Linked DNA regions of Saccharomyces cerevisiae S288C. Changing the gene in region 1 together with any one later gene gives a genetic interaction. Each region holds a gene or a part of one and is shown in the gene's direction. Other genes may lie near its edges. The genes, in order: LRO1, INO4, DGA1 and VPS4.

What was found.
Region 2: mutations in LRO1 (region 1) and INO4 together harm fitness more than expected from each alone (negative genetic interaction), as found in Saccharomyces cerevisiae (2 studies listed by BioGRID).
Region 3: of LRO1 (region 1) and DGA1, changing one enhances a phenotype caused by changing the other (phenotypic enhancement), as found in Saccharomyces cerevisiae (13 studies listed by BioGRID, with this or other methods).
Region 4: of LRO1 (region 1) and VPS4, changing one enhances a phenotype caused by changing the other (phenotypic enhancement), as found in Saccharomyces cerevisiae (2 studies listed by BioGRID, with this or other methods).

What each region holds. Positions count from the first base shown.
Region 1 is NC_001146.8:635,395-642,881, forward strand, and holds LRO1 (phospholipid:diacylglycerol acyltransferase), read left to right. Parts: upstream 1-5,001; coding exon 5,002-6,987; downstream 6,988-7,487. Other genes in the region: SWM2 (Swm2p), read left to right, coding at 549-989; ESCRT-0 subunit protein VPS27, read left to right, coding at 1,592-3,460; ATG3 (Atg3p), read right to left, coding at 3,788-4,720; NRM1 (Nrm1p), read left to right, coding at 7,296-7,487. UniProt on the Saccharomyces cerevisiae protein: Catalyzes triacylglycerol (TAG) formation by an acyl-CoA independent pathway. The enzyme specifically transfers acyl groups from the sn-2 position of a phospholipid to diacylglycerol (DAG), thus forming an sn-1-lysophospholipid.
Region 2 is NC_001147.6:109,157-114,718, reverse strand, and holds INO4 (Ino4p), read left to right. Parts: upstream 1-2,832; coding exon 2,833-3,288; downstream 3,289-5,562. Other genes in the region: WSC3 (Wsc3p), read left to right, coding at 1-581; YOL107W (uncharacterized protein), read right to left, coding at 1,589-2,617; ZEO1 (Zeo1p), read right to left, coding at 4,081-4,422; SHR5 (Shr5p), read right to left, coding at 4,830-5,543. UniProt on the Saccharomyces cerevisiae protein: Transcriptional activator of phospholipid synthetic genes (such as INO1, CHO1/PSS, CHO2/PEM1, OPI3/PEM2, etc.).
Region 3 is NC_001147.6:793,576-798,283, reverse strand, and holds DGA1 (diacylglycerol O-acyltransferase), read left to right. Parts: upstream 1-2,951; coding exon 2,952-4,208; downstream 4,209-4,708. Other genes in the region: SRL1 (Srl1p), read right to left, coding at 1-608; ENV9 (Env9p), read left to right, coding at 1,491-2,483; NuA4 histone acetyltransferase complex catalytic subunit ESA1, read right to left, coding at 4,416-4,708. UniProt on the Saccharomyces cerevisiae protein: Catalyzes the terminal and only committed step in triacylglycerol (TAG) synthesis by using diacylglycerol (DAG) and fatty acyl-CoA as substrates. Required for storage lipid synthesis.
Region 4 is NC_001148.4:884,007-890,280, reverse strand, and holds VPS4 (AAA family ATPase VPS4), read left to right. Parts: upstream 1-2,443; coding exon 2,444-3,757; downstream 3,758-6,274. Other genes in the region: DPB2 (DNA polymerase epsilon noncatalytic subunit), read right to left, coding at 1-1,307; CSA1 (Csa1p), read left to right, coding at 1,573-2,238; YPR172W (pyridoxal 5'-phosphate synthase), read right to left, coding at 3,883-4,485; BSP1 (Bsp1p), read right to left, coding at 4,723-6,274. UniProt on the Saccharomyces cerevisiae protein: Involved in the transport of biosynthetic membrane proteins from the prevacuolar/endosomal compartment to the vacuole. Required for multivesicular body (MVB) protein sorting.

The sequences.
Region 1 (7,487 bases):
ATACAATAAAAGATTTGAAGGAAAAAAAAAGTGCCTGTGCGCGATGTTACTTAAAAACAAAAAGATTAAATAATTGCAATATCATCTAGTTGGATTCTAAATATACTACCAAACAAGGGCTTAAACATTTTAATAAACGATTTACATATTTACTGTGGGTATGGCAATGGGTGAGCGTAGGTATGCTACGGTAGGCGATGTAGTGAGTAGTGCGGACGAACCGTAGCCGTAACGTTTAATGCCCCCTGCCTTTTCTTCTCAATTGCTCACATGTAAGCAAAGTCTTCCAAGAATCTGGTTTTACTCGTAGCCTTTTAACGCTGTTTTTTTTTTTTGCACACCTTTAAAACCTATAGAAACTCCTTCATATAAAATGTACTAGTTATAAGATGACTTTTTATATTCAAAATTAGAAGAAAACTTAACTAAAATTAAAAAAATAGCGGCTATTAAAAGGTATTAAAAAGTGAGAAAAAAAGAAAAAAATTATAAACTTGAGAAATCAAAGGAGACTAAATGCATAAGCAAAGAGAAGAGGATCTCCTCGGATGATAGATTTATACAATTACTCTAACTTAGAAGGTTTACTAGACGGATTAACGGACTTGAATCGAATTCCGAAGGAATACTCCGCAGTATTGGAGCCATATTTTCAGAATATAGCAAGAAATGCACATTTAAAGTCTAGAGCTCTAAAAATTTGTCGTTCTAATTTCCATAAATGGAACGAAGAAGGTGCGAAGACAGTCAATCCGGAAATTATAAGAAGATGCCTTAACCTGTGGTATGTTTTGAAGGGCAAGGAATATAAAAAGTTGAAGGATCCTCCGCCTGCTGATAATATCATTAAGGATGAGATTGATGTCTCATATGTTAAGAATTTGAATGTAGTCAGGTTGGAATTTGACGAATTTGGTAAACTCATAAGTAATCCATTAGAGAATTTGATCTTGGAAGAGGTCGAAGTGAATGATTTCATACAAGAATAAACCTAAAGTGTGTTCACTCATCTAATATGCACGGAGCCTACCTTTTAGCTTTTGCTGCCAAACTAAACCAAGATTGAAAGATATATAATCGACTATCTTTCGTCTCGTAATCTGTATCATGCAATTTAAATTAATTATCAACATAAAATGCTCTAGTTAGCACGCGCATATCCAGGAAAGTTCACCAGTAACTATGTACTAGACAAAAGCAAACTGTTCGGAGCGACCATACACCATATGTTGTTGAATCAACTTTTCTTAAGGCTCTTTCGAGTTCATCATTAACCAACCTAGGTATTTTCCCGATTTTTTGGTAATATGTCAAAACAGCTACTTTGTATACATTTATAGACGCCTGGTGTCCTTTGAGCCTCACTTATATAAAGTAACCTTCACAAGATTTTGGATTTTGGTAATACATACGCTACTGCTATTTCTTGCGGAGCAGCAGAATCATCTTGCTCGGCCTCCTTTTCTGAAAATTTCGATGATACCTGAAATAATCATCATTAGCAGAGGGAATTTAAAAATAGAGGGTGTAAAATTATCAAGATTTTTTTTTGCTAAGGTGAATGAGTAGTGAGTAAAGAACTAAGAACAGTATGTCCGTTAGCACGCCAAGTGAGTTAGACGCATTAATAGAACAAGCCACTAGTGAGAGCATTCCCAACGGTGACCTTGATCTCCCCATAGCGTTGGAAATTTCAGATGTGTTAAGATCTAGAAGGGTAAATCCCAAAGATTCTATGCGTTGTATAAAGAAAAGGATTCTCAATACGGCCGATAATCCAAATACCCAATTGTCTTCCTGGAAGCTTACCAATATATGTGTAAAAAATGGTGGAACGCCTTTTATTAAGGAAATTTGTTCCAGAGAGTTCATGGATACCATGGAACATGTCATTTTAAGAGAAGATAGCAACGAAGAACTTTCTGAGCTGGTAAAGACCATATTATATGAACTATACGTAGCCTTCAAAAATGATTCGCAACTTAACTATGTGGCAAAAGTTTATGATAAATTAATCTCTCGTGGCATTAAATTCCCTGAAAAGCTAACACTTTCCAATTCTCCGACTGCAATGTTTGACTCGAAGACGCCCGCAGATTGGATTGATTCTGATGCTTGTATGATTTGCTCCAAAAAGTTTTCTCTACTAAATAGGAAACATCACTGTCGTTCCTGTGGTGGAGTTTTCTGCCAAGAACACTCATCAAATAGTATACCCTTACCTGATTTGGGTATATATGAGCCAGTCAGAGTATGTGATAGCTGCTTTGAAGATTACGATTTGAAGAGACATGACGACAGTAAAAAATCTAAAAAACATCGCCATAAAAGAAAGAAGGACAGGGACTACTCAACTCCTGAGGATGAAGAAGAGCTGATAAGGAAAGCAATAGAACTCTCCTTGAAAGAATCTAGAAATAGCGCTAGTAGCGAGCCTATTGTCCCCGTTGTAGAATCAAAGAATGAGGTGAAGAGACAAGAAATAGAAGAAGAAGAAGATCCTGATTTAAAAGCTGCTATTCAGGAAAGCTTGAGAGAAGCTGAAGAAGCGAAGCTACGCAGTGAGCGTCAAAAAGCCTCTAGACAGATGCAACCCCAACAGCCATCACCTCAACCTCAACCTATCCATTCCGTTGATTTATCTGATGAGGAGAAAGACAGCATATACATGTTTGCTTCACTTGTCGAAAAAATGAAATCGAGGCCCTTGAACGAAATTTTGGAAGACTCTAAATTACAAAACTTGGCTCAAAGAGTATTTGCTTCCAAAGCAAGGTTGAATTATGCTTTAAATGATAAAGCTCAGAAATACAATACTTTGATAGAAATGAACGGCAAGATTTCGGAAATTATGAACATATACGATAGATTATTGGAGCAACAGCTACAAAGCATCAATTTGTCTCAGCAATACACACTTCCACAAGTCCCTTCTGATCCGTACAATTACCTAACAGAAAATGTGCAAAATCCAGCAGAAAGCTATCAAACACCTCCCCTCCAGCAACTATCATCTCATCAATACAAACCACAACAGGATGTCTCACGCCAACAATCGGTAAAAGCAAATTCATCACCTACCACTAATATTGATCACTTGAAAACCATCGATGTGACACCACACGCACAGCAAAAGCCTCAATCGCACGTTGAACTTGCACCTTCGGACCCACCTTATCCAAAAGAAGAGGCCGAAGATGAAGGAACACAGGCAGTGCAAGATGAGGAATCCTCCACACAAGAATCCCGCGAAAGGCCGTATCCAGTAGAAACAGAGAATGGTGAAACTTCAATAAATAAACGGCCTCAAGGCATTACACGTTACGATTTTCCAACTGTTCCTGCACGCAAATTCGTCCAACCGGAGTCAACTGTACCACTTCCTGCAAGTTCCTCTGAAATTCCGATCAAAGAGGAAAGGCCGCCTAGTCCTCAAGAGGAACTGCTAATAGAGCTTTAATATTGTAGCCTTTTCTATGTATTTGTAAAAAGAAACCTAGCGCTTATAAATATATACATACATATATATATAATTGCTTGTTACGCAACTTATACATATTTCTGTCATTAAACTAGTTTTTAAGGTGAATATTCATAATTTATGTCAGTATTAACATTGAAACCGTCAAAAAAAAAAGTATCAATATAGACAAAGGAAGGACCATTTTAAGAAAGTGGTTTTAAGGAAGAAACTTGTTCCTGCATATTTATAGTTAATTCCTATCTTCTTGTTTATCCTGTTTTTTGACCACCTGGCTTGCAGCTAATAGTGAAAAAACACAAATTTTTACCAACCTTCCATGGTATAGTCATGTTGTATACTCGGTGTAACACTAGTAATAAACTTTAAGAAAACAATCAAGTATTGGTCTACCCGTAACGAATCATCAATATCGTCTTGTAAATCCTCCCAGTCTCCGACACCGTCCAGCTCTTGTTCTTCCTGCAGCTCTTTCCTTCTTCGTTGTCTAACCACACGAACCTTATCTAGCAATATTTTCATTACATTAGCATGCTTACATGGATGAATGGAAACAGATAACACTGAATTCTTGTAAAAAGGTAGCTTTTCAATGGTGGCTGTCTTTGTTCTATAATCTGCTGATATATCTTCGAACATCTGCTCAGGGCTTAGTGGTGAACCATTAGAATTAAACCCCACTATATACATTTTAGGGACCCTATAAGATGTCGAGTACGCAATATAAAGGTCGTAATACCTTTCTTGCGCCATATCTTTGGCTAGGCCACCTTTAGCATTAAATTCTTCTGTATCGTCATTTTCATCCTCCTCTTTTATTTCCATGTCTTGTATTAGCTCATCAATATCATCGATAGATGAGTCCTTGGTCCCCCCCGCAGGCGTACTTTGCACATGTTCAGTTTCAGATCCTATGTATTCCAGAACATCATCTTCATCTCCATCTTCTGCAAAACCTTTCATGATTACATCTGGCCCTTCAACTTCGACACATTGCTCGGCACGTTTATCACAGGGAACTTTTCTAATTATCAGAAACTGCTTATTCTTCGGTAAAAAATCTCTGTAACTAATATCTGACGACTCTTCGTTCCACTTCCAGGTGGGAAACATATGACATAAATAATCACCTGCTTGTACAAACTCCTCAGGAGTTATTTGACCTGTGGTTAAAAAGGTAGATTTGTGCGTTATGGGGGTAAGATATTCTCTCCAACTACTTAGTGTAGATCTAATCATGATAATAAAATTGTATTTACTCCTTTGTACTTCTTTGTTCCTAACTTCTAGCTAGCTTGATATACGTCAAGTGTACGTAATCATTCAAGTATCTACTTTCCTTTAAATAGCCCTTCGCTCTGCTTCCCTTATAATAATAATGTCCGTGTACAAAATTGAATGCCCAAGAAGGTGAAATTTGAAAAATAAGAAATCTACTAAATACCGATACGAAGAAGCGTATAGTAACAGCCATTACAAAAGGTTCTCTACCAACGAATTCGGCGACAATCGAGTAAAAAATGGGCACACTGTTTCGAAGAAATGTCCAGAACCAAAAGAGTGATTCTGATGAAAACAATAAAGGGGGTTCTGTTCATAACAAGCGAGAGAGCAGAAACCACATTCATCATCAACAGGGATTAGGCCATAAGAGAAGAAGGGGTATTAGTGGCAGTGCAAAAAGAAATGAGCGTGGCAAAGATTTCGACAGGAAAAGAGACGGGAACGGTAGAAAACGTTGGAGAGATTCCAGAAGACTGATTTTCATTCTTGGTGCATTCTTAGGTGTACTTTTGCCGTTTAGCTTTGGCGCTTATCATGTTCATAATAGCGATAGCGACTTGTTTGACAACTTTGTAAATTTTGATTCACTTAAAGTGTATTTGGATGATTGGAAAGATGTTCTCCCACAAGGTATAAGTTCGTTTATTGATGATATTCAGGCTGGTAACTACTCCACATCTTCTTTAGATGATCTCAGTGAAAATTTTGCCGTTGGTAAACAACTCTTACGTGATTATAATATCGAGGCCAAACATCCTGTTGTAATGGTTCCTGGTGTCATTTCTACGGGAATTGAAAGCTGGGGAGTTATTGGAGACGATGAGTGCGATAGTTCTGCGCATTTTCGTAAACGGCTGTGGGGAAGTTTTTACATGCTGAGAACAATGGTTATGGATAAAGTTTGTTGGTTGAAACATGTAATGTTAGATCCTGAAACAGGTCTGGACCCACCGAACTTTACGCTACGTGCAGCACAGGGCTTCGAATCAACTGATTATTTCATCGCAGGGTATTGGATTTGGAACAAAGTTTTCCAAAATCTGGGAGTAATTGGCTATGAACCCAATAAAATGACGAGTGCTGCGTATGATTGGAGGCTTGCATATTTAGATCTAGAAAGACGCGATAGGTACTTTACGAAGCTAAAGGAACAAATCGAACTGTTTCATCAATTGAGTGGTGAAAAAGTTTGTTTAATTGGACATTCTATGGGTTCTCAGATTATCTTTTACTTTATGAAATGGGTCGAGGCTGAAGGCCCTCTTTACGGTAATGGTGGTCGTGGCTGGGTTAACGAACACATAGATTCATTCATTAATGCAGCAGGGACGCTTCTGGGCGCTCCAAAGGCAGTTCCAGCTCTAATTAGTGGTGAAATGAAAGATACCATTCAATTAAATACGTTAGCCATGTATGGTTTGGAAAAGTTCTTCTCAAGAATTGAGAGAGTAAAAATGTTACAAACGTGGGGTGGTATACCATCAATGCTACCAAAGGGAGAAGAGGTCATTTGGGGGGATATGAAGTCATCTTCAGAGGATGCATTGAATAACAACACTGACACATACGGCAATTTCATTCGATTTGAAAGGAATACGAGCGATGCTTTCAACAAAAATTTGACAATGAAAGACGCCATTAACATGACATTATCGATATCACCTGAATGGCTCCAAAGAAGAGTACATGAGCAGTACTCGTTCGGCTATTCCAAGAATGAAGAAGAGTTAAGAAAAAATGAGCTACACCACAAGCACTGGTCGAATCCAATGGAAGTACCACTTCCAGAAGCTCCCCACATGAAAATCTATTGTATATACGGGGTGAACAACCCAACTGAAAGGGCATATGTATATAAGGAAGAGGATGACTCCTCTGCTCTGAATTTGACCATCGACTACGAAAGCAAGCAACCTGTATTCCTCACCGAGGGGGACGGAACCGTTCCGCTCGTGGCGCATTCAATGTGTCACAAATGGGCCCAGGGTGCTTCACCGTACAACCCTGCCGGAATTAACGTTACTATTGTGGAAATGAAACACCAGCCAGATCGATTTGATATACGTGGTGGAGCAAAAAGCGCCGAACACGTAGACATCCTCGGCAGCGCGGAGTTGAACGATTACATCTTGAAAATTGCAAGCGGTAATGGCGATCTCGTCGAGCCACGCCAATTGTCTAATTTGAGCCAGTGGGTTTCTCAGATGCCCTTCCCAATGTAAATGACCGACATTGACTCACTATCCATCCGTGTATTATTTCAAAGAGCGAAAAGAAGGCGCGTCGCGTCGACGCGCCTTTTTAGGCTAGAAAATAAACAGAAAACAAAAACAAAAACAAAAAAAGGCGAAAAAACAAACGAAAAAACAAACGACAGTAGATAGAGGAGAAGGTTTTTGACAGGTTTGTGTAATTGGTTATTTGCTTTTATAGATTATATATACACAAACTTAAAACACTGTTTTCTAAGTAGGCTGCGGAGAGGGCCAATTGCAGCAGCGACGTACGCATAGAGGAAAAACAACCGTTCATGTCCATTATGAAGCAGAGGCTACCACTGGGGGAGTTTTCCAGCTCGAAGATCAACAAACTGGCAATTGCCAATATTGCAGACGCTAGCGAGCCTAGAAACCATGGAGAAAACAACGTCGGGACTGTGTGTCTTCCCTCTATCAAGAGTTTGATGGTTAGTCCTGAAGTATACGAAAACACGAAGAGTCTT
Region 2 (5,562 bases), on another chromosome or scaffold:
CCTCAAATAATAGATCTAATTCGACTTCGAAGCAGCGTCTGAGTGGTGGAGCCATTGCCGGTATTGTTATTGGTGTTGTGTTTGGCGTAATTTTTATTATTTTGATTCTATTGTTCCTGATATGGAGGAGACGGAAATCGCACGACCAATTAGACTTGGAGGAAACGAAACATTATCAGCCCTATTCGTTCGGTGATGAGGATGCAAATCCAATAGGACCGCCTCCCTCCTCTGGTACGACAAATTGGATGAGACATTCAAGGGGTAATACAGCGGGTTCTATCGGTACAAGTAATATGTATGGTTTTTCTATGAGTAATGGTGCAAATTATAGTAGTCCTAGTTCAAACACCAGTGGAAGCATCATAAACAACTTGGCTGGCTTACAAGATGCTACGGTTCAGAAACAGAACCTTCCATCGACAGTTTTTGAAGAGGCAAATACTTTGAATAGTGCAAATGAAAGGTTCAGTGCCAATTCTTTACCCGACATGATGATGAGCGGACCATTGCAAGTGGTAAACCCTGATAATCCTGATAATCCTGAATTATCTAGTACCGTATCTCATAATCGAGCCTGAAAAACTCGCATAAACTCTCAACATTAATGGTAATCAACTGGTTCTGCTGGACGGAGCCATTCTAAATCATTAACTTTATAATATCATGTTTTATACCCTAATATTTAAACAATTTACTGCTTTTGGCACTTCAACTGTTAGAAAAAGAACAATAATATTTAGTATTTAGTTTCATTTTTAAATTTTCTGATTCACTTCATTTGCAGCTTCTAATGATGTTTGTGGTACAAAAATATAAACAATTTTAAAATATTAAAAAAAAATGCTTCCAATCGGATTTGAACCGATGATCTCCACATTACTAGTGTGGCGCCTTACCAACTTGGCCATAGAAGCTAAATCTCTGAAAGCTGCGCTCTTCAAAGGCGAACCAAGCAAGATAAATTAATATTATTATGTAAAACTATCGTTTTCCTTTTGTTGATTCCTATATCCCGGAGAAGAACTACTAATTATCAAATTATTCACCAAATGATCAAATTTAGCAGCGTAGTGAGTGCCACTATGTAGATGTTGGAATAAAAACCAACTATCGTCTATCAACTAGTAGTCATACTATCAATATATTATCATATACGGTGTTAGATAGTGACATAAGTTATTATAGAAGCTGTCACCGAAGTTAGAGGAAGCTGAAATGCAAGGATCGATAATGTAATAGGATAATGAAACATATGAAATGGAATGAGGAATAATCGTAATATTGGTACATAGAAATATAGATTCCATTATGGGGATTCCTATATCATCGAGGAGAACTTCTAGTACATTCTGTATACCTAATATTATAGCCTTTATCAACGATGGAATCCCAACAATTATTTCAAAATTCACCCATTTCTCAGTAGAATTATTAATATTGGGGAATATATGGGTTTCTATGGTTCGATAGTACTGGCGCACATTCAGCATACAAATCCTACTACCTTGGTAAAGACCGAAATGCCAACAGCCGTCATTAAATCACGATATAATAGAGCATATTTCAAGTTATATAGATCCATATATCAAGGGTTTACCATACGCTCTTCCAAAACTTGTAAAGCTAACTGTCTTCGTCTTTCTTCTACAGTCATAATTTTTTTGGCGCCTCTACTTTCTGCGATGGTGTTCCCAATATCTATATCAATATCATGAAAAGGTTTAATGACTTTAAATTTTACAACAACTACATTATAAATGAAATTGAAAATCGGCCTCAAAATCGGCTTAATTAGATCAGGAAAGAAGTAAATCAATTGAAAAGTATCAGATGCATCGCCGACCAATATTTCCTGACCACCTTGAGAATTAGTTGTTGGCAAAGAGGGACAATTCAAGGGTGCAAGTTTCTGGAAAAACCTCAAGTACGACCAACTGGCAAAAAAGGTAACCCAAATGGAGAACAATTGAGCAAAATGATGAAACCATATTATTTGGGTTACCGTCATTGTAAACATTACAAAAATGGGTAGTAATTTGAACCTAAAGTTTTTGGCCAAAAATTGAGGTGTCTTCAGATGGATTATAGTTGTTTCAGGCAATAACTGTCTATAAATGATAGGGAAACCGATTAAAATTGTGTAGTTCCCGTCTAAGGGAATATCCAGCCTTACCTTATTAGAGAAAAAAGATACTAACAAAGTCAGCATGATGATCAGAACGTTTGTAAGAGAACCTAAAACTATGATAAATTTGAACATTTCTTTGGAAGAGTTCCAATTGCGTTCAATGAAGGATCCACCAATGATCAAATTCAATAAGTTCACTACCACCTTCCAAGCTTTAGTGTCGATGAAGTTGGATAGAACTAATGAGGTGGGGTACCTCCAAATCTGCGAAGGTACCATTTGCAAAAGCGGCGAAGTAATCAAGTTGTAGTCCAAGTTAGGGTCTTCAAGAACTAGCTTGTTGTACAAGGATCTCCTTATACAGAAAAGGGTTGCAGTTAAGCATATATAAGTGACTGTAATAAATTTAGTAGCATCAGGAATCTTATTGATATTTAAAAATGAATCCGGGATATTCAATTCTAGGAACCTCGAACTATATTGCATTATAGTGAACAAATATCTTTGTTATAAATAGATTAGTCGTCTTCTTTTTCTTGGCTTGGTTTGTATGAGCTTGTTACGTATCAAACAAAATATTCACATGTTTTTCTCACCTTAAAGACAGAGGCGCGATTGCGTTTGCGAAATTCCAATGCCAACAAGATAAGCTTGACGAAGGAGTTAAGAGGGCGGCTTGAACTAAAAAGAGAAAAGCAATAATGACGAACGATATTAAGGAGATACAAACAATACAGCCGGGATTGTCCGAGATTAAGGAGATAAAGGGTGAACTGGCTAATGTGAAGAAAAGGAAACGCAGGTCTAAGAAGATTAATAAATTGACTGATGGTCAAATACGTATAAATCATGTTTCGTCTGAAAAAAAAAGGAGAGAATTGGAAAGAGCTATATTTGACGAACTGGTAGCAGTAGTACCTGACCTGCAACCCCAGGAAAGTCGGTCAGAACTAATCATATACCTGAAAAGCTTGAGTTACTTAAGTTGGTTGTATGAAAGGAATGAAAAGCTGAGAAAACAAATCATAGCTAAGCATGAGGCAAAAACCGGCAGCAGCAGCAGCAGCGATCCCGTACAAGAACAAAATGGAAACATTCGGGATTTAGTACCGAAGGAGTTAATTTGGGAGCTGGGTGATGGACAGAGTGGTCAGTGATTCAAGGAGTAGGGTAAAGTAAGTAATATAAGCGAAGAAATTCTTCCCATACCTTTTCTTCACTTTGCAGAGGGGAGTGGTGCATATCCCACAAAGAAAAGTAGCAACAACAATGATATATATACGTTACTACTAATGCTTTCCTTCATCGAAAGTGTGCCGAAGTATTTATTTAATCTTTTAGTGTTCAACTTACTATAATGTGATACTTTTTCAATATTGTTTGCCGTTGAAGCGATAGTGCTTTATGTCATTTTATCTTTCTTTTACATTGTTTTATTTTAGAGCTAAAATTGAACATCAGTTTGCAAGAAGTCAGTTGGTTGGCCTTTGCTATTAAGAGACCATAATGTTATAGTGATTGAGATCAGTTTCACCAACTAATAACAATTAACCCGGGCGGTTAGTGTAGTGGTTATCATCCCACCCTTCCAAGGTGGGGACACGGGTTCGATTCTCGTACCGCTCATATTTTTACTTTCTTATCAAACTTTTTTTCCTCCGGGACGTGAAATAACCGCCGAGGTTATTCTCGGAGCATTCTTTTTTGTGGCTTTTGATCATCCATCATCATCATCATCATCATTATTACTACTACTACTACTACTACTATTATTATTATTATTATTATTATTATTAGTATTATTATTATTATATTGATTAGTTATTAGATAGATACAATTAAGAAAAATTTATGTAAAAGGTCAGAATAAACAGCATTTTTCTCCTCTTTTTTTATTTTTAAAAAAAGAAAAAGAAACTTCTAGTAAAGTGCAGCACATTCAAGTGTGATTAGTTGAAAATGGAAGCAATTTTACGGTTCAATTTCTTCAAGAAACCGCCTTCCTTCTTGGTTTCCTTCTTCTCACTGACGGCGGCGGAAGCTTGCTTCTTAGTTTCTTCAACTTTGTTGGCAGCTTCGGTCTTCTTTTGTTCGACACCATCAGCAATGTTTTGTTCTTCCTTCTTCACCTGTTCAGCTTCTGGAGTAGCTTCATTTTTTAGGTTGTCGATAGAAGCTTCAGCTTGTTCCTTTACTTCTTGGCCCTTGTTTTGCAAAGATTCTTTGGTTTCTTCCAACTTTTGTTGGACATCTTGGGCGGCAGTTTCAGCTTTGTTTTGAATTTCAGACATTATTAATTGATATAAACGTAGTTTTGTATGTTTCTTTGATTTGAACTTTTAAGTATACAGAGAAAAAAACCGATCAAAGAAAACTAAAGTATAATGAGGTTAAAAACGAAAGTAATAAAGTAGAAAGGCTATCAAGCAAACTGAGATGATCTTCGACGTAAAAACTCGCTCTATATATATACGCCATATAAGCCCATCGGCGATGGGGGACAACACGAAGAAACAAGAGAAGAGGAGAACCGCACAGAAAGCAGCAGAAACAGAGCAAACCAGCATTAACTAAAGATGATAAAAATAAAATTAGGTAAGAAACCTTAATTGGATATACAAAAATACACTGGAGGCACAAATCGCCATCGATATAAAACACGATAAAGCCCTGGTGCACCCATAAACCACACGTTTAACTATTTGGGTCGGGGCACGACGAAATCTAGGGATAGGCACCCGGACCGTCGGGGCAATACTAGGCGCACACCGCGCTCGTGAAGCAGACCTCCCGGCGAGTTTAGCTGCGCCACGTACTGCTCTAACGCGAGAGACTCCTGAAACACAGGTCTAGAAAGAAGGGGCCCCAAAACCCAGCTCCACAGACCGCCCGTAAGCATATCGAGCAACAGGCCACTTAAGTTACGCCACCCGAACACCTCACCTTCTTCACGCAGCAAGAATCCGTTTACCCGGTGCACAACCTCCGCGAGCTCTGCCGCACTAAGATATTCTGACAGAGGCGAGACGGAGGAGCAGCCAAACACGTGATCCCCAATGTCGTAACGCCCGCACCGCACAAAGCTAGTGCCATCGTCGCCCACGATTGCCGCCGGCTCGCTACCGGGAAGCTGTGTACTAAATTGTGGCGTTTCAAGGCTGCTGCGAGACTCATCGAACCGCCGGGGCACTCGTACCACCCGGGTCACCTGGAACTCGGCAGAGCCCCGAGCAGCATACACATTCGGGAAATGTGTAATACACAATTTGTGGTCTTCGTCGTGCTCTGTGGGTTTAGCGTCTTCGGAACCGAGGTCTTCGTAGAATGAATACGAAAACTCATGGTAATTAAAAAATAACGCCCTTTCGCTCGTATTTGCGTTATCTTCTTCCTTTTGATGGCTATCGCACATCTAGTAAGGGTTAGATTGA
Region 3 (4,708 bases), on another chromosome or scaffold:
GAAGTGGTGTTGTACCATTGTACGTTACCTGGAGAGGTAGTGGTAACAGAAGGTGCACCGGTGACAGTAACGTATTGTGTAGTCGTATTTGGGGTGACTGTAACGTACTGGGTAACGGGCTCATTGGTGACAGTGACAAACTTTGTGATTGGGACGCAACCATTGGAAGTTGAAGCCTGTTCAAAGGACTTGACCTTTGCATCTTTGTTGTTTGAATCTTCGTCACTGACACTTGCTGCAGTAGATGATGGAGACAAAGTAGTGGAGTCATGAAGGGTTAGCAGCAAAGTGGACGTGATAGTCGAGGTGGAGGTAATTTCATGGGTGGATTCTGGGGTTACAGATCCAGAGGCCGAAGAGGTGGACAAGGAGGAGGAGGCCGCATTGGTAATGGTGGCTGAAGTTGAGGTGAACCAGCTCGTGGAGTAGACCGTTGAGGTGACAAAAAAGGTAGTGGTGTCGTCGGCGTACGATATGGTAGTCTCTTGGGGCACCAAGGAGTAGCTGGGCGCTAAAGTGGTAGTTGTAGAAACAGTATTGTTTGAATAAATCGCTGACACAGAACTTGCGAAGGTTAAAAGAGCGAAAAAGACAACGGATTGAAGCATTTTTTTATTTTTGGTTGATAAAGAACGACTAAGGTGAGAGTGAAAGTGATGTGATTTTTAATTATGTAGTGTAATTGAAACAATAAAAAAAAAACAAGGGAATGGACGAGACCTATTAATGGGTACTATGGCTCAAATAGCAAAAAAAATTTGTAAAATGGGTAAAAAAATGAGAGAAATACGCGAGAAACCTCTTGGTTGGATGTTGTGCTAAACTAGTTGCTTAAACGCTTGCAAAACTTTTTTATAGATAAAATATGCCAAGTGAAAAGAAAAGGAAGCAGAAGAGAAAAACTTAGAAAGGTAGAGGTAAGAAAGAATAAACCAAAATGTAAGCTAGGTGAGGGAAATATTTTGGAGCTTAAATATCTCGAACGACACTCACTCTCGTCAGAAAAATCTGTCGAGTAACTCAGACCACCTCCGATAGCATACCTTGTTTAGTTTCATAATCGGCAGAGACGTCATTCCTGCACAGAACGCCAAAATTCGTGGCCCCCGCGGTACCTGAATCAGGGCCAAGAATTTTGGCGTTTCGTGTTGTTGACATATTCCGAAAAAGGTATTGAGCCACAGGTCTTTCGCGTCTTCTAAGCCCCAAGATAAAGAAAATGCCGCCCTGCTTAATCACTGTTTTTTTTTGGAAAACCCTGAAGTATAGAAGTAGGGCATTGAAAGAAAAGATATGCGGGTAAGATATGAAAAAATTGAGGAAATGAGACCCAAGTGTACATGGGTATATATAAACAAATCATTATGGTGCATGATGCATCACTTACAATGCACACACACTATTGTCTTTGTAGAAACGGGGAAGACAATGGTTGTAGGCCTGATTGGTATTAGAGGCATCCGCAGTACGAGACATACGCCAAAGGCAGAATGTTAGACCCACGAATATTGCCATACTACGACCCGGCTGTGGAGAGGAAGATTGCTGTAGTAACAGGCGGAAATACGGGTATTGGGTGGTATACTGTCTTGCATTTGTATTTGCATGGGTTTGTCGTTTATATTTGTGGGAGAAACTCTCACAAGATTTCGAAAGCAATCCAGGAGATACTGGCAGAAGCAAAGAAGAGGTGCCATGAAGATGACGACGGTTCAAGCCCAGGCGCGGGCCCAGGTCCAAGCATTCAGCGTCTAGGGTCACTGCACTATATCCATTTGGATTTGACAGACTTAAAATGTGTGGAGAGAGCGGCACTTAAAATTCTCAAGCTGGAAGACCACATAGACGTGCTTGTTAACAATGCAGGGATTATGGCGGTGCCCTTAGAAATGACGAAGGACGGATTTGAAGTGCAATTGCAGACTAACTACATTTCGCACTTCATCTTCACGATGAGATTATTGCCTTTACTGCGCCATTGTCGTGGCAGGATCATTTCCCTGTCCTCGATAGGCCATCATCTAGAGTTCATGTACTGGAAACTGAGCAAGACGTGGGATTACAAACCTAATATGCTTTTCACATGGTTTAGGTACGCGATGAGTAAAACCGCGCTAATCCAATGCACGAAGATGTTGGCCATCAAATACCCTGACGTTCTTTGTCTCTCCGTTCATCCGGGTCTGGTGATGAACACAAACTTATTCAGTTATTGGACAAGGTTACCCATCGTCGGTATTTTCTTTTGGCTGTTGTTCCAGGTCGTAGGGTTCTTTTTCGGCGTATCGAACGAACAAGGTTCACTAGCTTCTTTGAAGTGTGCATTGGACCCGAATTTATCTGTCGAAAAAGATAACGGGAAGTACTTCACCACGGGGGGTAAAGAATCTAAATCGAGCTACGTTTCTAACAATGTCGACGAAGCGGCATCGACTTGGATCTGGACCGTTCATCAACTAAGAGACCGTGGTTTCGATATATAACAAGACGGAAAGATTGAAAGAGTAGATAGATGTACATTTTATTTAAATATTAGTTAGTCGTTATTGTAACTGGTAATCAGAGCAAGAAGTTTTTCTGTACTTTGTTCTCTGCAGGCAACTAAGTTACGGGCCGACAAAGGCTTATGATGTGCGTTTTTTATTCAATTGATAGATTCAGTCAGCATTGACGTAATGGGAAGGCTAGAAAAAGAGAAGACTGAATTTGGAAACTTATTCCTCAAAGCAGACCAGTACTTCCACCGCATTTCTGTACTTAACCAAGCACGACAGTGGTCTATCAGGCTTGGATCTTTCACTACACTTCCGCCAAAGTTTTTTTTTTTTCCTGTTTATCCCAGATCACGTTTGTTCCATTAAGGAGGTTTACTATCATCTCATTTCCATTTACACATACACTTACATATACATAAGGAAACGCAGAGGCATACAGTTTGAACAGTCACATAAATGTCAGGAACATTCAATGATATAAGAAGAAGGAAGAAGGAAGAAGGAAGCCCTACAGCCGGTATTACCGAAAGGCATGAGAATAAGTCTTTGTCAAGCATCGATAAAAGAGAACAGACTCTCAAACCACAACTAGAGTCATGCTGTCCATTGGCGACCCCTTTTGAAAGAAGGTTACAAACTCTGGCTGTAGCATGGCACACTTCTTCATTTGTACTCTTCTCCATATTTACGTTATTTGCAATCTCGACACCAGCACTGTGGGTTCTTGCTATTCCATATATGATTTATTTTTTTTTCGATAGGTCTCCTGCAACTGGCGAAGTGGTAAATCGATACTCTCTTCGATTTCGTTCATTGCCCATTTGGAAGTGGTATTGTGATTATTTCCCTATAAGTTTGATTAAAACTGTCAATTTAAAACCAACTTTTACGCTTTCAAAAAATAAGAGAGTTAACGAAAAAAATTACAAGATTAGATTGTGGCCAACTAAGTATTCCATTAATCTCAAAAGCAACTCTACTATTGACTATCGCAACCAGGAATGTACAGGGCCAACGTACTTATTTGGTTACCATCCACACGGCATAGGAGCACTTGGTGCGTTTGGAGCGTTTGCAACAGAAGGTTGTAACTATTCCAAGATTTTCCCAGGTATTCCTATTTCTCTGATGACACTGGTCACACAATTTCATATCCCATTGTATAGAGACTACTTATTGGCGTTAGGTATTTCTTCAGTATCTCGGAAAAACGCTTTAAGGACTCTAAGCAAAAATCAGTCGATCTGCATTGTTGTTGGTGGCGCTAGGGAATCTTTATTAAGTTCAACAAATGGTACACAACTGATTTTAAACAAAAGAAAGGGTTTTATTAAACTGGCCATTCAAACGGGGAATATTAACCTAGTGCCTGTGTTTGCATTTGGAGAGGTGGACTGTTATAATGTTCTGAGCACAAAAAAAGATTCAGTCCTGGGTAAAATGCAACTATGGTTCAAAGAAAACTTTGGTTTTACCATTCCCATTTTCTACGCAAGAGGATTATTCAATTACGATTTCGGTTTGTTGCCATTTAGAGCGCCTATCAATGTTGTTGTTGGAAGGCCTATATACGTTGAAAAGAAAATAACAAATCCGCCAGATGATGTTGTTAATCATTTCCATGATTTGTATATTGCGGAGTTGAAAAGACTATATTACGAAAATAGAGAAAAATATGGGGTACCGGATGCAGAATTGAAGATAGTTGGGTAATAATGAATTCATTGGAAAACACAAAATATGTTAGAATAAATAAGGATTTTTTAGTGTTTGGGCTGTATATCTTAAGTAAGAGTATTAACTTACAGGAATACTGGAGTTCTCGTTGAATATTAGTGATTGTTTTACGTAAATTTCATTTATTTAAAGCTTTTACATTAGAAGTTGTTTGAATGTAAGTTTAGGAAAGCACTACATAGCTTACCAGGCAAAGCGTAACTGAGAGGCAGTAAATACCGGTGGTTTCCATATGAGTCTATTAGGGTCTATTGTCCTTCTCTTTTTGGCTTTAAGTCGATTGTACCTATCTAAAATATCTTCATTCAGGAAAATAATATGCTGACCCTTGTAATATCGCAGGATATTCAGTGTCTTTGCTGTGTGTAATATATCTGTAGTGGTCATCGAAGTCATGGAGCTTATTTCGTCTATAGTAATTTCCTTCTGGTGTTCCACTAATAGCGTTATGAGAGTGTCCGACCAATAGGCTCTAT
Region 4 (6,274 bases), on another chromosome or scaffold:
CCTTGCCAAATTAATAGGGTCGGTGGGTCATCATTTAATTTTTGCAAAATTTTGCTGAGTGCAGTCATAATTTTCAAATCATCTAGGAACAAATTTGCGCCGAGAATTACAAATTTATGATCTGTTAATTCTTTCTCCAAAAGGTGTAATCTAATCTTCAAATCTTTATCCAAACGAGCAATGAAATTGTTATTAGAAATGCCATGTATTCCTAAGAGATCGAGATTACCTATCGTTTCTAATGTAATTTCTCTTCTCTCACCAGGGGGTAAAGTCATGGAGGTAACATGGAATTTATTTCCTACAGAATAGTATATTCCTTCCACAAGAACCATGCAACCTGGCACGTAGTAATGGCCTTGTGTAGGGATAGTTTGGGAAATGTCAATTTCGACAGATCCAGACGGATCTTCCAGTGACCAATTGCCCTTAAAGTTCTTATTTAAGAGCCCCAATAGTAGAAAGTTTTGAGCATCCCTACCTAGTAGGTTTTTTATTGGGGTGATACTCATACTGCTGGATTGCTGCTGTCGGTTAGTATTGGACAGTTCATTTTGTAAAGACACCATAGATGATAATGGATTAAACATGTCACTGTTTTGGAAGTTTTCATTTCTCATGACTCTGTCGTTCGTGAGGTAATATCTTGTCAAGAACATTTGAACTTTGTCCTCTATATCTGGTAGAAAACCCGCAATGCCTCCTAGCCCATTCTGCTTTTTATTGGGGACGAAAATAAATTGCATTTTGTGCGGATTGTATGAGAATCTTTGTTGCTGAGAAGCATTGATAACTTTGAAGTAGTCCCTCCAGTCCAACGCCTTGGAGCTTTCTGGCTTGAAAGGCTGTTTATATTCATCTCTTTCGGTGGGCTGTCGCATGGGTGAAGATAATGAAACATTTTGTAAGGATGAATCAGCAGCGATCGGCATTTCATCGTCACTGTTGTTCTCATCGTCATCTGTCCGTCCCAAGATATTCTCCTCATGTTGAATAGGGTGTTCATGACTCCATTCGACTTTCTCACGTTCTTTCATCTCCTGTATAACTTCTTTAACCCCGCTCTGGTCGATGAAAAGGCCTCTTTCTTGTTGTTTCCATACTGCAGCAAATTGCTCGAGAAATTTTATTGTAGCAGGCCCTTGTCTCCAGTTAGCACCTATATTAGTGCCAACGAATTCTGCAAGAGCAGACAGTCCATCAGATTTAATTGATAAACCATATTTTCTTGATAAAACTCTATACGCCAGTGGCCTAAGCAGCGGAGGCTGAATTTTAACAGGCAGAACATTCCCAGAGCCAAACATTTCACACATAGACGCTTCTAGTTCCACTTACAAACTTTAAAGGCATAAACAAGTCATCTCAACTTTATTGTAACATGTGTTAAAGATGCCCAGTTGAAATATTTTTCTATTATGTCACGCGAAAAATAACGCGTCACATCACTTTTGTTCCTTTTGTCGTTTTTCTTCTTTTAGATTCCATCTTGAAAAGAGATGAAATGGACAAAGTAACATAATTTAGACCCAACAAAGTAAAAAGAAGGTTGGGTTGGCATTGAAGATCACAATGGGAATTCAGGAAAAGACATTGGGGATACGAAAAGAGCGCAAATTGGTGGTTGTGCCTCGCGAAAGAAATCATGTTAGACACGCTTCACAAAGGACACGTTCTAAAAACTACAAGAATATCTCCAAAAAGAGGGCTCAACAACACGCGTTTGGATTCAATATTGCTAAGACTCTTGCCAAGATCCAAGCGTTTGTATGGGGGTCTCCCGCAGATGAGGAAGAAGAAAGCGTTGTCCCATTGTCTAAAAATTCTCAGGATTGTGTGCCTCTACAATGGCAAGCAAAGTTTGCGCAATTGCGGCAGCAGCTGCACTCTACACAAAAGGAACTACAATTTGTCAAGGAAAAGTGTCATCTGTTGCAGTCGGTGTTGGACGACGCAAACATCGATCAAAGATACCTGGAGTCTCGTCGAGACATGAAAAATATTGAGCGAGACAACCTCAAACCGACAGAAAATTTACCACCTTCGCCAGTAAGAGCAGTAAACCCGTTAGTGACTTCAAGTCCGATTCACATGTCGCCACTCCAGTCGCGCCAACGACCAGTTTCTTCCCTACAGCCCCCAAAGGGCCCCAACTTCTACGCCAAGTATCCTAAGCTTCCTCAAACGAACATTCTCAGAGAATCTCCGACTGAGGATTCGGTTCCGCACGCTGAATAGAAACACAACACGTCATGGTTGTTCTTTCTGTACATCTATTTATTCTTGCTTGATGATATTTATTGTATTGCTTTACGGGTACCCCCGCTGGGTGAAAAAAAAAAAAAAATAAGAACTTCATGATATCGAACGATTTAATCGTGGGTTGAGGACATGGAAGACAAAAATAAAGCAGCATAGAGTGCCTATAGTAGATGGGGTACAAATGAGCACGGGAGATTTTTTAACTAAGGGAATAGAACTGGTTCAAAAGGCCATTGACCTGGACACAGCCACGCAGTATGAGGAGGCGTATACAGCATACTATAACGGATTAGATTATTTGATGTTGGCTTTGAAATACGAGAAAAACCCTAAGTCGAAGGATTTGATAAGAGCGAAGTTTACAGAGTATCTAAACCGTGCAGAGCAGTTGAAAAAGCACTTGGAAAGTGAAGAGGCAAACGCGGCAAAGAAATCTCCTAGCGCTGGTAGTGGTTCCAACGGTGGTAATAAGAAAATCTCTCAGGAAGAGGGTGAGGATAATGGTGGAGAAGACAACAAAAAGCTAAGAGGTGCCTTATCGAGTGCTATTTTGTCTGAGAAGCCCAATGTTAAGTGGGAAGACGTGGCTGGACTGGAAGGAGCCAAAGAGGCCCTTAAAGAAGCCGTTATTTTACCTGTCAAGTTCCCACATTTGTTCAAAGGTAACCGTAAGCCCACTTCGGGAATCTTATTGTACGGACCACCAGGTACAGGTAAATCATATTTGGCAAAAGCAGTGGCCACCGAGGCCAATTCTACCTTTTTCAGTGTTAGTTCCAGTGATTTGGTTTCTAAGTGGATGGGTGAATCTGAAAAACTTGTCAAACAGTTATTTGCGATGGCAAGAGAAAATAAACCTTCTATTATTTTTATAGATGAAGTGGATGCGCTAACAGGTACCAGAGGAGAAGGAGAGAGCGAAGCAAGTAGAAGAATTAAAACAGAATTATTGGTACAAATGAATGGTGTTGGGAATGACTCCCAAGGTGTTTTGGTCCTTGGCGCAACAAATATCCCATGGCAACTGGACAGTGCCATCAGGAGAAGATTTGAAAGAAGAATATATATACCATTACCAGATTTGGCGGCAAGAACCACCATGTTCGAGATTAACGTCGGCGACACTCCATGCGTATTGACCAAGGAAGATTATAGAACTTTAGGTGCAATGACTGAAGGTTATTCCGGGAGTGATATTGCTGTAGTGGTGAAAGATGCGCTAATGCAACCGATAAGAAAAATTCAAAGCGCGACACATTTCAAAGATGTCTCTACGGAGGACGACGAAACAAGAAAACTAACACCATGCTCTCCAGGTGATGATGGCGCCATCGAGATGAGTTGGACGGATATTGAAGCTGATGAATTAAAAGAACCAGATCTCACCATAAAGGATTTCTTAAAGGCTATCAAATCGACGAGACCTACCGTGAATGAGGATGACTTGCTGAAGCAAGAACAGTTCACTAGAGATTTTGGTCAAGAAGGTAACTAGTCAATTGATTAACGTGCTAATGTAGATTTCTTGTGTACATGAAAATAAAAAATAAAAAAAAAAAAAAAACAGAATAATTAAATACAGAATCGTATGCAAAATAGATAAAGAAAAGCAGAGGACAGTTAACTCTTCCCTTTACTTAGAAACATTGTTCTGTTCTCATTATTGGATACCCTAGCATTATCAATTCTAACTTTAACAACGGCGGTGTTCTTTTCAAATATAAAAGCTTTCGCATCAGGATTAGCCTTTAGTATTAAATCTTTATAGTACTTGGATTCTTCACTTTCAGGATTGACAATTTCGGTTTCGCCACCAATAGATGCGCTCATTTGGTTCAATTCGGCTTGATTTAACTCCTGTAACAAATTTAAAAGCTCGCTTTGACGTTGCTCTTCATGAGGAATAGAAGTCGGCGTCGGAGTCCCAGAGATGCTTTCCTTGCCCACTGACAAATTATTCGCGATGATCCAATCGTGAAACAACAGGGCGACCTTAGGGTTCTCCTTGATGTTGTAAAACTTTTGTGTGTCCTGAGGAGAAACAAATATAATGTAGTCATTCTTATTATCTGTTTGACCGAACAGTTTTTCACCTGGCACATAGATATAGTTCATCAATGCCACTGAAGGGATGCAGTCTTTAGAACAGGTGGCCACGTGAACATATTTGGAGTTTTTGATCAGGTTCAGTAGATGCGCTGGTAATGTACTAGTCCAAGCCATAATTGAGATGTTTCAGGGTTTGAATAGCCTGTAATTTTACTGCTATTTTCTAATAAGGGAGGAAAAGTGTAGCAAAAAGATCGATGATTTATATTCCTTCAGGTTCATAAGGGGAGCAAATGTCAAAGCGCAAACGTGGGAAGTGACGATAATACATGTATCCCATTAAATTATCATATTATTGTTACATCATATGTACGTACATACATGTGTAAAATACGGAGGTCTACTCTGTAGTTACACGCGTGTTGGAAGTTTTCTTCTGGGACCACGAGTCCTATTTTTATTCGGGTGAACTAATGGTTTAGTTTCCTTCACTGTTTCATCTCTAGAAGTAGTATACTTGTCAGAAGTTGCAATATTAGTGTTAACACCGCTAAGTTCTGGTAGAGTATTAGATGCTCTTAAGTTTCTAGAGGCAATTATTGCGTCTAATTTTGCGTTTATGCTCAGTTCGTTTGAGGACTCTAAAACAGGCTCGGTTTTAGATTTTTTCATCAATTCGACTTTTCGCAATGCCTCTGGCAAAGAAATTTTACGTTGTGGCGCCGTTGGTGGCCGTTTCTTCAGGTTATTCCGCAATGATAGAGCTTCAATTTCGTCATTTAACTTGTTAATATCATCACCATTTTTGAGTGTAGTATTTTTCGAATTATTTGTTAGAAATGATTTTTTCTGAGGGATTGCAGGCTTCTGCTGTTTGGTTTTCTTCAGATTTTGTATACCTTTTATTGCTTCTGGAATACTGTCCTCCTCTTCTTTTTTAATGTTACGGTTGCTGGATCGTAACTTGGGCAAATCGATTGAGTTTTCGAAGTTCTGCTTTGTTGGAGAAGTTTCTACGGGACGTAGCTCAGGTAATACTATATTCAACTCCACTTTCTTTGGCGGTATGCTTGGTTTGGTCTTATGGGCGGCCAAATTTGCATTCCGTAGCTTTTGAGGTTTTTCAGGCAAAGAAGGCTTGGAAGTTGTCGTGAGATTCGAGTTTAGCATAGACTTGATAAAACTTTCAGATCTTGGAATTCTTTTCGCAGGTGGAGAAGGAGGGGTTGGTTTAGGTTTATTTTTCATTGTAGGAGATAAGGTGGTTGGTTTTAGTTGTATGGAATCCAAGTAATCGATATGAGAACTTTTTACAGTTGTTTTGGGAGTTTCCATTTCCGAATTATAACTCTTCGCCTTTGTCAATTTGTTATCTTCCAAAGAACTTAAAAAGCTCGCCGGTTTTGTAGAGCGTGAGACAGGTGGAGCAGGCTTAACGCGCTCAGGTACCACAGCATCCGGTTTTATTGACCTTGATGACGGACTTTCTGTAACTTCTGCTTTGTTAGGCCTTGTTGGAAGAAGCGGTTTCTCTTCATTCCCATCTGTGATTTTGATATGATCACGCCTTGTGGGCAAAGGCGGTGGTGATGAAGAAGAGGAGGAGGAGGGTATATCGGCTCTTCCTGGTAATTCAAAATCATATTGGATGGTGATTATTTCCTTCTCTCTCGGTCTGGGTCGACCCCGACTGGGCATACGAGGACCTTTTTCAAAGGAAGGCAAATTTTTGTCAGCATTGGAATCATTATATGTTTGAGAGGCTTTCAATTTCTGCAATAATAAATAATCTTCTTCAGAAATTAAAAATTTTTTTTCTTTTTGAGAGGCACTTCCCTCCAAATCCGGCCTTGGCGTTATTCGTTCGAGATTCAGCTCACTTAATGAGTAATGAGTCTTCTTTGGAGAAAACGTCATTTCATAATTGTACGCAGATCGGTAGGCCAAATTGTCGCAACCTTCC